2 linked regions of the Caenorhabditis elegans genome follow. The protein of the gene in region 2 interacts with the protein of the main gene of each other region in a pairwise test. Each region holds a gene or a part of one and is shown on either strand. Other genes may lie near its edges.

Evidence for each region. The genes of interacting proteins can lie anywhere in the genome.
Region 1: the proteins of scrm-8 (region 2) and calu-2 interact in a two-hybrid assay, tested with the Caenorhabditis elegans proteins (one large-scale study listed by BioGRID).

What each region holds. Positions count from the first base shown.
Region 1 is NC_003279.8:6,756,068-6,762,858, forward strand, and holds calu-2 (EF-hand domain-containing protein), read right to left. Parts: upstream 4,113-6,791; 5' UTR 4,101-4,112; coding exon 4,035-4,100; intron 3,985-4,034; coding exon 3,855-3,984; intron 3,790-3,854; coding exon 3,686-3,789; intron 3,356-3,685; coding exon 3,256-3,355; intron 3,088-3,255; coding exon 2,877-3,087; intron 2,421-2,876; coding exon 2,171-2,420; 3' UTR 2,114-2,170; downstream 1-2,113. Other genes in the region: hrpf-1 (RRM domain-containing protein), read right to left, coding at 29-158, 201-279; gpc-2 (G protein gamma domain-containing protein), read left to right, coding at 1,701-1,789, 1,841-1,940; F08B6.1 (BPH_3 domain-containing protein), read left to right, coding at 4,365-4,471, 4,598-4,724, 5,187-5,285; Protein unc-87, read right to left, coding at 5,700-5,807.
Region 2 is NC_003282.8:4,160,767-4,168,167, reverse strand, and holds scrm-8 (Phospholipid scramblase), read right to left. Parts: upstream 3,477-7,401; 5' UTR 3,447-3,476; intron 3,393-3,446; 5' UTR 3,390-3,392; coding exon 3,171-3,389; intron 3,123-3,170; coding exon 2,763-3,122; intron 2,366-2,762; coding exon 2,179-2,365; intron 2,132-2,178; coding exon 1,992-2,131; 3' UTR 1,938-1,991; downstream 1-1,937. Other genes in the region: scrm-5 (Phospholipid scramblase), read right to left, coding at 3,745-3,884, 3,942-4,128, 5,014-5,373, 5,422-5,646.

The DNA.
Region 1 (6,791 bases), on a different chromosome or scaffold from region 2:
CGTTAAAAGAAATATTTGAAAGTCAAACCTGCTTCCCAAGTGCTCTCGGTCTTTTTTCAAAGCATTGTTGTAGTCTTCTTCATTGGTAAAAACCACTTTCGCATCACCGCTGGTTCGACCGTTTCTCCTTGGAATTTCCAAGCTTTCGATTCCATTATCTTGAAGAAGATTTTTTTATAACGATTTAAAACACCACTCACTTCCGAAAAAATCTCTTAGCTCCTGTTCAGTGGCCTCCCATGGTAATCCACGACATTGAACTTCATACGCAGTAGACATTTCTGAAAGACAAAAACGGATTTTTCTGATTCTGTTCTTTTTTATCCGTCGAGATCAAATATACGTTTTTGTGGCAAAAATTACAAAAAACTAATACAATTTTCACATAAAAACCGAAAGAAAACAAAGTAACAAAACAAAAAATATTTTTCGATTTAAACTCTCGGCCGTGCATTTGCGCGTAGCGTCCGTTGCAGTGGTCGCAAACACCGATTGTTTACCGTACTACGAACAATAAATGATGCATTTTAATATTAATTTTTCTTTTGTTTCGAGGCTCTATGTACCACCGTTTTCTTATTCTTTTACAATGTATTTTTGAACAAAATTTTCACTTATTTTCTCATCTTCCATTAAATGCAAACAGTGAGTTTATTTGGTCTGAAAATGCTTTGCATCTCCAACGAGTAAGAAAAGCTGTTCTCTGTCTAGCAGCATCTTACAATTGTAAAACTGATGGTTGGCTATTTAAATGAAGTTTTAATTTTTTGGGCGATGAAAGTCTCATTTTGTTTTAGAACTGCAGGATATATTCACGGTTTTTCAAAGATCTGTCAATTGACTTGTCGATAACGAAAAAAATCTAAAATGCTGGCTTAATAATTTAATTTCTCACAGTGAACTTTAATATACATAAATCTTTTTCCGAATATAGTGCCATGATTTTCTGTCTGTCCTTTGTATATAAGCTCCACACTTTGAAAATATAACACCAATTAATGTCTTCATTCCCCTCCATTTCCGTCATCTTCCATATATTCTCACTTCAATTTCCATGTCTTCTTCGTCTTCTCAATTTTCCTTCGTAGGGCTTGTGTGTGAGGTTGTCTCGCGTAAATGTATGCGCCAGAGCGAGAGTGTGTGTGCCAATCGAAACAGCAGCAGCAGCACTCTGCCCTCTACAATGTCTCCATTTTCACTACACTCTTTCAAGTATTGATTTTCAAATGCGAAGCACAAAGCGAGGAGGAGCGCAGAGAAAAGACTGGCAGGGTCCCGCTGGTGCTCACTTCTTCTCTCATTTCTGTCTTTGCTCTGCTCTGCTACTCCTTTTATAGTACTCATTTTTTCCAATTCGACTGATATTGTCAATGTATAGTCAGAAACTTCGGTTTTCAATTGAATAAAATCCATGATTCGACTGTTTTTCAGTTAATTCAACCTAATTTAAACCTTTGCTTTTACCAAAAACCTCTTTTTTTCAAGTTAAATAATGTCAGTCGAACTTATTTATAGGCCAATTTTGAATGTTCTTAACAAGTTTAATTTATAACGTACACTTGCAACTACCCGTTTCTCATAACTTTCTGAATACTATTCGTTCTCCATGGTATTCGCAATAATTCGTATAATTTGGCTTTCAAATACTCTTTTTCAAACGATTCTCATTTCCGATTCAATAAAGAAATGTTTCAGACAAGATGGATAAATCTGACATGCAACGAACCGTCGACTCGCTTCGCAGCCAGCTCAATATTGAGCGTACTCCGATCACTGTTTCGGCAGCCGAGTAAGTTAACGAGATCAGAATGCCCAACTTTCAAAATTTTGTTTCTTTCAGACTTCGTCGCTTCACCGAAAGCCAAGAAGATCCACTTGTGAACCCAATCGACAAGAAGGTTAACCCATGGGCTGAGAAGAGCAAGTGCAGCATGCTCTAAATCATTTATTCATCCACCATCGCTTTCAAACCTCACTTTTGTCATCCATAATACTAATCCAAACGCCGATTTTGTCTTTACTATTCGTCCTATTTATATGATCCAATTTTCGCATTCTTCCAATTTTTTGTAAAATGAAAGCAAACTACTGTGAATAAACTATTCAGATATATACAATTGTAAATAATTTATCATTTGTTCAATTAACTTCGATTCAGAGATCTACATAATTACAACTCGTCATGAGAATAATATGGGTGCAGATGATCGGCTTCTTGAGCAGCTTCAGTTTTGGCAAAAAGAGCATGATGCTTCACAATTTCTTCATAAGACAATTGTCCATCTTTATCATCATCTGAATTTGTTAGAAGACTTTCAGCTTCATAAGATCCAGCTGTTGTTCCATCAACGAGAAGCCAATCGGTCAGCTCGTCGCCGGCCAGTTTTCCGTCTTTGTTTTTGTCATAAACTGTACGGAATCTAAAAATGGACACAAATTAGGAAAAAAAAAATTGAACGACTTTTCTCCGAAGCAGAATAGTTTAGAAATATATTATTTTAAAATATATTTTAAATAAATATTGATTCGAAAGTATTTATATATTGAAAAATGAGTTAGCCTATTTATAAAACCGTATTATTTCAAATAATTGTATTTTCTAAAGTTCTAAATTTTCTTAAACACATGTTTCTCAAATATTTTCAGTTTTGAATCCGCAAAATATTAAATAAAGAAATATGCGCCTTCTACAGTAATTTGTTCACGATCCCTGCGAGACCATTATGCTTTATTAGTCATGTCCCTTTAAAGTATACCGTGCTCTCATATTGATTTTCTATAAAATTGTTATTTTATTGTTTTCCCGTTTCTTGGTTTTCAATCTTTTTTATTTATTTTAAAATCCCAAAATCTTAACATTAAAAGCAATAACTCACCTCTCCACCTCAACTTTATACCATTCACTGCCTCTTTGTTCATCAAGTTCTCCCAAAAATTCCTTCTCTTCGATCGCTCCATCTCCATTCTGGTCTTTTTCTAGCAGCGTTACAGCAATTAGAACCGGATGCATATGTGGATGATGCTCCGGGTTAAGAAAACTTGCCAGTTCTTCCAGATTTAATTTTCCATCATTGTCTTCGTCAGCTTCTGAAATTTTCTAATTTTGATGTTGCATTTTCTCATTTATTTCAGAAAAAAAGCCAAAATCCAAAGTTTTCAATAGCACATGAAAGATTAAAAACGTAGTGTCGGCGTTTCATTTTAAGTTTTTTATAGCTACGTTAATTCTCAAACTATTTAAACTCCGAAACATACGTTTGAAATACATTTTATCCTGTGCAATAAGTGATTCTTCTTCCTTGTTATGTAACTCTTCGTCAGGAAATGAATCGGCCAAGTATTCTTCCCACGATACCTACAATATACAAATTTACATTTTTCTCACACCGGGTGGTTTGATACCTCACATGTTTCCTATCTACGAGAGAAAAAAGCGTATTTTTGAAATATAACTAAAAAAAAAAAAATATATATATATATACAAATACTCAAGTTATGAATTAAGAAAAAATTACATTCAATAAACTTTTGCATTAATAAATTCGAAACAATTCAACTCTCAGAACACATTTTGGAAGTAGATAAAATTTGGAAGTAGATTTTAAAAGATTAGAGTCATGTTAAAAGCTAAAAAAAAAAGTAAAGTGCAAAATTTTAAATATTTCTTATAATTAGAAAAACTCACAAATCCATCAGCGTTCTCATCAAGCTCACTAATTCTCTCTACTGCTTCTCTATCAACAGTTTTCTGATATGATTCGGATACCCATGCAAGAATTTCACTTTTATCTGAAACATCATTGGTACATATATTGGATTTTCTATTCTTATATTATAGAAAGTCTAAATATTACCTACAAAACCATCATTATTTGTATCCAAAGCTTTCGCAAATTTTTCTACGCTTTCTTGGCCAGATTTTAAGTTTAATTTCTGCTCAGAAGCTGGCTTTTTATGATCTGACGGGGAAACAGAACCATCCATCTGTAAAACAGTTTTTATAAATTTTAAGATTTTGAATTGAAAAATCGAACCATCCGCTCTTTTTCTGCGAAAATCGATACAATGATGGAGAATATTATGCATTGCTTAAACCGCATTTGTAAGAAAATCTGGAATTTTTGTTTTGGGATAATAATTGAATGTTTTTTCGATGAAATCTATTAAAACAGACTTAAAATTCTTCATAATTAAGAAAAATCCATTTTTCCAATATTTGCTAAAAAGGCACCTCGTGGACTAGTTTCCACATGGCCGAGCTATCTCGTGTACTCCTCTCGAACATCGATTTTTTTCCTTCGGCGCGTTTTCCAGTTGGATTCAATTTTAAAATCTTCTTGTTCTTCAGAAATTTCTACCCGAAAATGTCACCAATTCAAAGAATAGAGTTTTCCGAAAAGATATGCAATCGAGATCTCAACGGATATGTTCTTTATTCAACAGAAAGTGCATGGATTTGGGTTGGAGAAAGGTATTTTAAATTTTTTTTATTCATCTTTTAAAAAATAAAGCTATTCGTTTCAATTATGAAATCAAGCTATTTGATAAAAAACCATAGTCAAAAATGAACAGTTTGTTTAAAAATGTTAGTTTTCAGTAAAATCGATTCAATCGGGCTTGCACATTTTCCAAACTTCACAATGCTCGTCGATGGAGAGAATACGCAACGAGAATTCATTAAATCAACTACTCTTCGGTTAACAAAAACATCGAGATTCACACAGGTATTTTTGAAAAAACGTTCATTTCGAAATAAAAAACTCGAGGAAATTCTCATTTTTATCTGAAACCGATGCAACCAGAAAAACCAAAAAAAAACAACATTTTGTTTTTGAGAGATTGAATTTATTCTAAAAAATTCCGTATTTCAAGTATTTTCTCAAATATTGTGTAATATTAGCTTGGAAATTATGAACAAAAAGTTATAATTGATGATCATGTCGCAATTATAATTTTTAGGCAGAAAATAATTTTCGTAACAAAATTTTCGCTGAAAATAATTTTTTTCGAAAATTAAAATAAGGCCACTTTTGCTTAAATGGGTGTGACTACTTCCGCGGTAATGAAAAATAAATTATATGAAAAGAACAAAACTCCACACATTTTTAAAAACCTTTTTTTGTAAAAAATAACCTTTGGCTTAAAAATCGAGAAATCAAATAATGTATTCATTAAAATATTTGCAGGTATTCTTCACAACAGACATCGAATGCGAAGAAGGTCTATTCTGGAAGGCTCTCAATGACAATATGATGGAAAAACTGAACGCCCTGAACACGAACTAATTTTTTAATTTTTTGTTAAATTTTTAGTATATTGCCTGAAAGTTCCGTACGGGTTTTCATAGAATAAACATATATTTTTAAGTAAATCTATGGCTTGTCGCATCTCTGTGAATTTCATTTAGAAAACTAAATGCAAGTGGTTTAAAATAACAAGAATAATTCTTCGCTAAAATTGCTCATTTTTGGCTGCAACTTACGCAAAAAAGAAAACAATCGAAAAATTTCAAATTTATATGATGAACTTGTTTGGGTGTGAAAAGAATAGGAAGGAAAGCAGGGAAATGGGATGGAGAACAAACAAAAAAGTAGTTTTTTTTGAAGAATAAGAAGAAACATTTGGAGAAGAAGTTGAAGCAAATTATGCACAGGTATCATGTAATTTACGAAAGAAAAAAAAACACGGAGAAAAATGATTTAGAGACGATCCAAAGAGATTTCAGCCTCTTCTGGGTATTCAAGCTCCCAGATTCTCTTCAAGTGCTTGCCCTTAACGTCACGTGGTGCTCCGAATGATGTCATCTTCTGAAAAATTATGAAAAATTAGAATTTGTTTCAATAATTTGTTTTTTTTTAAAGGAAATCGTAGTTTTAAACTTAAAAGTTTGGTCATTTTTCTTCTTTTTAGAATGTATTTATATGTTTTTTTAAAATCAACTTGCACATAATTTGATAATACGGTACCTGCTCTCGCCACGATCGAAATATTTTGAAAATCGAGGCCGCGCAAAAATGTTTGCAAAAAGGTATGCGCCTTTGAATAATACAGTAACGGTTTTTCTACCATTTTAGGTTTCTATTAGGGGTGTCAATAAGTTCCGGGTCAAAATTCATAACTTTTTTCGTGGCGAATCGATTTTTCTGAAAATGTGGGAATTTATGTGATCAAACATGGTCTTTCATTTGACGGTACTTTCAAAAAGTTTTGACCACTCCATGTATCCCAGCTCGGAGACACTTTTTTCAGGCGTATGCCTGATCTCGCTTCTTTGTAACTTTCAATTGAGACTTATGTGCGGATTTTGATTAATTAAGTATACAATGTAAAAATACAATAAAAATTTAAGAAAAAATTGGTTCAAAAAAAAATTTTTTTTGGTTTGTCAAAAAATCCTCGAAAAAATTTTTGTCGAAAGTTCTTGATTTTTTGTACAGGAATGATGCAACCAAGTCTGAACAATTTAACACACAAAACTTTTGAATTTAACATTTAGATTTAGAGAAATTCTCAAAAATTTCAAAAAATGGACTAAAAAATCATAAAAATCACGTTTCAAAAGTTTTGTGTGTTAAAAATTGTTCAGACTTGGTTGCATCATTCCTGTACAAAAAATCAAGAACTTTCGACAAAAATTTTTTCGAGGATTTTTTGACGAACCAAAAAAAAATTTTTTTTGAACCAATTGTTTCTTAAATTTTTATTGTATTTTTACATTGTATACTTAATTAATCAAAATCCGCACATAAGTCTCAATTGAAAGTTACAAAGAAGCGAGATCAGGCATACGC
Region 2 (7,401 bases):
CTCCCTGATCGCGTGGTAACGCGTACTCCACCCCAATCTCTAAACACTCACCAACGGCTGTCTCCAAAGTGCACGTCGTACTTCTCGTCCATTTCTTCATTGCAATCGAAACCTCTGGTGTGAAAGTCATCACACGAGCAACACGGTCGACTTCTGAAGCAATTCATCACAGGAGCCCCGAAAATATCCATGCACTGCATAGCAAAGTTGCGGTGGGATCCTTGATGTTGGCGAGCAAAGAAACTGGATCTTTCCATACAATAGAGCAGCGGACGGCAGTACATATCGTGGACCACGTAGCGATTGGGGGTCTCGATTCCGGTGAAGATCTCGAGTGGTTCAAGGCATTGGACAATCATAAGGGAGGTGGTTTGAGCCAGGACGTCGAGTATGGTGTGAGGGGCGAGGTCCACGAATCCCTGGAATAATGTTGGTTTAGATTGAGGATTTTAAATTTCCCGCCAAAAAATTTTCTCAAATGTTTCAAATTTCCCGCCAAAAAATGCTCCAGAAGATGTGATTTTCCCCCAAAATATTTTTCTCAAAAATTTGAATTACCCGCCAAAAAAAATTTGCAGAAATTTTCAATTTTCCGCCAAAAGTTTTCACAATAGCCATTCATCTGATCGGTTTTCAAAAAAGATTAACGATGACGTCACTCGACAGGCCCCGACTACAAGTGGTGACGTCATATGTCCCAGTTTTTGGGTATGACGTCACTAAAAAACAAACAAACAATATGCAATGATAGTACACGGGCTTCTTCCTCGCAGCGATTTTTGCGCTCCATCGACAATCGCCACGGACTGCAGGTGGGGAAAAACCTGTACTCCACATCAAAGAACCGCGACGCGACACGCAACGCGACACGCAACGCGATACGCAACGCGATACGCAACGCGACACGCAACGCGACACACAACGCGACACGCAACGCGAGACGCACCGCGACACGCAACGCGACACGCAACGCGACACGCAACGCGACACGCAACGCGACACGCAACGCGACACGCAACGCGACACGCAACGCGACACGCAACGCGACACGCAACGCGACACGCAACGCGACACGCAACGCGACACGCAACGCGACACGCATCGCGACACGCAACGCGACACGCAACGCGACACGCAACGCGACACGCAACGCGACACGCGACGCGACACGCAACGCGACACGCAACGCGACATGCAACGCGACACGCGACGCGACACTCGACGCGACACGCAACGCGACACGCGACGCGACACTCGACGCGACACTCGACGCGACACTCGACGCGACACTCGACGCGACACTCGACGCGACACTCGACTCGACGCGACACGCAACGCGACACGCAACTCGACACGCAACGCGACACGCAACGCGACACGACACGCAACGCGACACGCAACGCGACACGCAACGCGACACGCAACGCGTCGTAAGGTTACTCACCGTCATCTGAACCGGCATTGCTGCGACCATATTCGGCACCTCCATCGGAGTATCCCGTGGCTGTGGAAGTCTCCCGCCGCCACGCATCATTCCAGCTTCCGCTCGGCTCTTCGGTGGCTCCTTTTCGGATTTCTCAGTTGAAGTCGCACAGCTGACTGGCTGCTCTCCGGGTTGTTTATTCATTTTTATTGGTTTCTGGAAAAGTTGGAAGGTTTTGGGGTCCCAGAAAGAAGCGATAGAAAACTCACATTCGATGACGATGAACAATAGTAGGAATGGGAGATTATGTTGGGAGAAGATGTTACGTGAGGGGTGGAAAAGGGGTCACGTTGAAAATTTGAATTTTCATCCAGATTACAAAGCTTTTTTTTTAAATAAAAATCAACTACTTCTTGGGATGTACGGGAAAAATCTAAGCACTTGTGCCCAAAAAACAGAATTATCTTCTGAAAAAAGTGAGCTTGTAATTACAGAAAAGCTAGCTATAAAACTGTGGAGAAAAAACTAGTTTATTCTAGTTTGCAAGTGAAATGGGCTCATAAAAAATTCAAAAGCTGCTATGCATTCCGCCATGCATCCCACCATGATGATGACGATCCTGGTTACGATCCTCAAAGTAGGTGAAGTCGATCAAGAAAACCGAGGTGACGAGCAGAAGCTTCAAGATTGGCGGCATGTCCATTGGAACTGAAATATATCGGAATTCAGATAGAATTCGGATCTTAAGAACTTACAATGAACAATATAGGTGTCCGCATCGGTGAACATCTCCTGCATGAATCCCGGGTAGAGGCGGACGATTTCTCCGACGAGTGCGCCATTGTAGGTCATAACTGGAAATTTCTGAGTACCACCACAGCCAGCACAAACTGGAGATTGGATGAGCAGGGGCTGGTTGCAGCCGGATCCGATGAGCTCGAACTAAAAGAATCTAGGACTAGCAAATGAAAGGTGTTAGGTATAAGAATTCCCTTGTGATAGCTCGGAACAATTTAGATCCCTAGATCATCGACTAACAACCCTACTTTCACAAAATGATCGGCATAGGACGTGGCATTGTGGTTTTATCGGGGTATCATGATGTCCCATATGATCTACAATATTGAGACGCACAGTTTTGGCACACTTTTCTGGGCGGAAAACACCCGCATTTTTTGTAGATCGTACCGGTATGAGACAGCCTGACACCACTTTAGGACTGTTCACAATGTATTGTTAAAATGTTTCCTATATTCTCATGCCTCTATAAATGTTAGGGTACTGTAGTTTAATGTAGTACTGTAGTTATTACTGGCGGTGGTTATCGTCCAAAACTCACGTTAGGATTACAGCACTCCCTCTTCATCATCCCAATCTGCTGATCGAGGAACTGGGTGCTCAGGAAATCATCGCATGAGCAGCATGGTCTTCCTCGAAAGCAAGTCATCACCTGGGCTCCGTGCGTATCCATGATCTGCATTCCGAAGTTACGATTGTTTCCGTGGTACTGACGAGCAAAGACGTTTGATCTTTCCATACAATAAAGCAGCGGACGACAGTACATGTCGTGGACCACATAGCGATTTGGAGTCTCGAATCCGGTGAAGATCTCGAGCGGTTCGATGCATTGGACAACCATCAGAGAGTTGGTATGGGCGATTGCGCTGAGGATGTTGTTGCTGGCAAGCTGAACGAAGCCCTGAAAAGTCAGAATTTAGAGCGGTCACCATTAGCTAGAATGACTTACAGTCATCTGAACCGGCATCGCTGCCACCTGATTCGGAATTTTCATTGGCGTCGATCTCGCCGCTGGCAGCTTCGTTCCAGCATTGTTTCTTCTACCGAACCCCGCTCCCTCGGCACGTGGCTCATCCTTCTTTGAATCCTGCTCAACCTCCTCAGGTGACTTCACCGCGGACGTTAAGCTAATTGCTTTCAATGGTAGCTGTCCCGGTTGAATATTCATTTTCTGAAAAAATTATGCGGGTTTTGAGGGAAAACCAAGAGAAATAAGAAAACTCACATAGAAAAGTGTTGGTCACAAGTCGGAAATAAATTAATTTTGAAAATCTGATCTGATTGTACTATGTGGAACTTCACGTCAGATTTAAATTTCTGTTGGAAAAAAATAGGAAATTATCTGCGGAATTGTTGTCTGCTGCACGTGTATTAGTTATCGCAATTTTAACAAGTCATTTGTGCCCAGAAAACGCAATCTTTTGCTGAGAAATTATCAGCTAGTAGGTATAGTAAGAAGAAGCCAGAAAAAACTAGTTTATTCTAGTTTGCAAGTGAATTTGTGAACAGGATCCTTTATAAGTTTAGAAGCTGCTATGCATTCCGCTATGCATTCCGCCGTTACGATGTTGATCCTGGTTACGATCCTCGAAGTAGGTGAAGTCGATCAGGAAAACCGAGGTGACAAGCAGAAGCTTCAAGATTGGCGGCATGTCCATTGGGACTGAAATATTCCAAAATTAAGATAGAAAAGATCAGAAGCTTAGAATAAAATGCTTACAATGAACAATATAGGTGTCCGCATCGGTGAACATCTCCTGCATGAATCCCGGGTAGAGGCGGACAATTTCTCCGACGAGCACACCATTGAAGGTCATCACTGGGAACTTCTGGGTGCCACCACAGCCTGCACAACCTGGAGATTGGATGAGCAGGGGCTGGTTGCAGCCGGATCCGACGAGCTCGAACTGAAAGAAAAGGTTAATAGGATGTGTCTCAAGGAGGATGGGAGATTCAGGTGAAGAGCTAATAAAGCTTCAGCCTATAGGAACGATTGCTCTGATCAGGGGTGTGCGGCAAGTTTGGCGAATTTGGCGAATTTGCCGCGTTAAAAATTCAGTAGTTTTGGTGCTTCAAAAAACATCAAATTTTTCGGAGTTAGTTGAGCTCGGCAAATTTGCCGAGTTTGCCCTTGTACAAGGTGTCATGCTAGTCCCGATGTTGCCGTTCAGCGGTATATAGATATAGATCTATAGATCTACGTATAGTGCAATTGTATAGTGCAATTTATATCTGTAACTTGGTACATTGGTGACGTACGGTCCTTCCGCCTTGCTCTGTGTTTCTCTCTTTTAGTGTGTCAATGCCTAGCCGCTGGGCGGCAGAGCAAAGGCGTGAAACCTGTACGTCTATGTACCAAGTAATAGGCTTTCTAGATAAACATCTTAATACTGAAAGACATTTGGACAGTCTAGTAACCTATAGTCTATATCTATGTCAGTACAAACTTGGCACATTGCAACCTACAGTCCTTCCGCTTTGCTCTCTTTTGTGTATCAATGTCTTGCGGCTGGGCGGCAGAGCAAAGCGGAAAGACTCTAGGTTGCTATGTGCCAAGTTACAGATATATTATAGATCGGACTATAGATAGGGCATCAGGGGTGTGCGGCAAATTTGCCGTTTGCCGAGCACTGCAAGTTTCAAAATTTGCCGCACAGCCCTGGCTCTAAGCTCGATCAAGATTGATGCAAACTCAGATCAGCGAAAAGATCTCTTTTGAGAAAAATGTGATTTTTCCAAAGAATGCTTCAGGGCTCTGGATTACTGTAGTTTTACTTGATACTAGCACTCACATTAGGATTGCAGCACTCCTTCTTCATCATCCCAATCTGCTGATCGAGGAACTGGGTGCTCAGAAAATCATCGGTCGAGCAGCATGGTCTTCCTCTGAAGCACGTCATCACCTGAGCTCCGTGGGTATCCATGATCTGCATTCCGAAGTTACGATCGTTTCCTTCGTACTGACGAGCGAAGATGTTCGATCTTTCCATACAATAAAGCAGCGGGCGGCAGTACATGTCATGGACCACGTAGCGATTCGGAGTTTCGAATCCGGTGAAGATCTCGAGGGGTTTGATGCATTGGACAACCATCACAGAGTTGGTATGGGCAATGGCGCTGAGAATGTTGTTGGCGACAAGTTGGACGAAGCCCTGAAAAGTCAAAAGTTAAAACGATCACTATTAGCTAGAATGACTTACAGTCATCTGAACCGGCATCGCTGCTACCTGGTTCGGAATGACCATTGGCGTAGATCTTGCCTCTGGGAGTCTCTTTCCACCACCTCCACCTCCTCCGAATCCTGCAGCCTTGGCACGTGGCTCTCCTTTCTTCGAATCCTGCTCCGGCTCAACCTCCTCAGGTGACTTGGCCGCAGACGTCAAGCTAAGCGATCTCAATGGTTGCTGTCCCGGTTGTTTGTTCATTTTCTGAAAAAATTTTGCGGGTTTTTTGGGGAACACTGACAGATATAAGAAAACTCACATATCAGATCGTTGTTCACTAGTCGAAAATGAATGAATTTCAATCGAAGGGAGTATTGATTTTATTTGTTGTTTCGAAAATTGAATACGTGGGGAAAAGGGATAGGGCAGAAAGGGCAGAAAGTTCATATTCACGTTTGAACTTATCTAATTTATTTAAAAATTTATTTATTTACCCCGTGGCTCCAAATTTTCTAGAAACTATGAACAAAAACATCCCGCAGCTCTTCCAAAACTTTCTCGAATTCACCGATCTGAATTTTCGGTACTGAACAAAAACTAATAGATTTTCAATGGTTAAGCAGCCAAACTATATATTCGTTTTGTGGATCTTCAGTGAAACACTGAAGATGACTTTGCAGCATGAAACCTGAAACCAGTGGCTCCTGGCAACCAGCACAATAAATTTGGAGCTCGAAATCAGTACTTGAACAAGCAGTGATAACTTGTCAAGCGTTCGCTGAGTCTCAAAGTTATCAACTAGAAGAATGCACATCGACATGTAAATTCTTCCATACAGGATAGTGTGGCAGAATTTTAATTTCTGCAAAATTACTTTGAAACAAATTTTTATCAATCTCCCAGACTAAAAAACTTTTGAAGTGTTATCTGTTGAAATGTGTAAGCTATTGGAATGTTCAAATGTTTATTCAAATGAATTGCAAAACTTGGCATTTAGTCAGCATATGGTGGCCAGTAGTCAATATCGCTGAAAAAAGTTATTTTTCTGATGAACTAGCACTAACATTATCTTACATCGCAGCGTATTGTCTAATTTGGAGTTTGATTGGCGTATTGTCAGAATATGAGTACTCAAGTTTCATGTTGTAGATAGCAGCATCGAGGTTTCCATAGCCTGCTCGAATTGTGCTATTTTTCTGAAATAGCTAACGTATATTCCCTGTTAGTGAGGCATAGGATTACTGGAGCCTGCTCTCGAAATTTATTGTCTTATCAAACAGTTACTGAAGTTATAAAACGGCCACAGTCCCCAGCTTGGGTGTGGCTTAAATTACCGCCCAGTAGGATCACCACCAGGTATTACAAAAACAAACTTCGACCAGAAAACAAAAAAATTTTTGGTCGAACTTTGGACCAAAAAACAAGAAACAAAAAATCGAAATTTTCAAAAAAACCAACAAAAAAAAACTAAAAAAAACAAAAAACAAAAAAAATTTCACGGTTTGATATCAAACGGGACAAAACAGGAATTTTTCATGAAATATTAAAAATTGAACACACGAACGATTGAACAAGGTTTTTTGTTCTCATTTGTTTAATTTTTTGCTGAATCAGTGTTGCAATTTATTTTTTGGTTTTTTTGGTCTCAAAAAACCAAAAAAATCAGTGCACAACGCTTGAAAAACGGATCGACCTTTAATCCTTTAATCATTTAGTCTCTAATCGTGAGGTTATTACTTTCAAAGGTAGTAACCTCAAAAAACGGTATCGTATGAGTACATGTAGGAAACGTTACCTCATTGGATGGGGATCCTGGATATCCATAAAAACCACCATTGGTAGATGATGAAGCATTGTACCAAGAAAGGTAAAATGATTGGAATGTATCAATGGGACCTCAATTTGTAATATTAACAAGTTATGATAATCATATCAAAATTTGTACCATGGTTCTGTACAGTTACTGCAAAGTCGACCCCGGCAAAGAATGTCCCGTTGGGTTTAGTGTGGAACAGT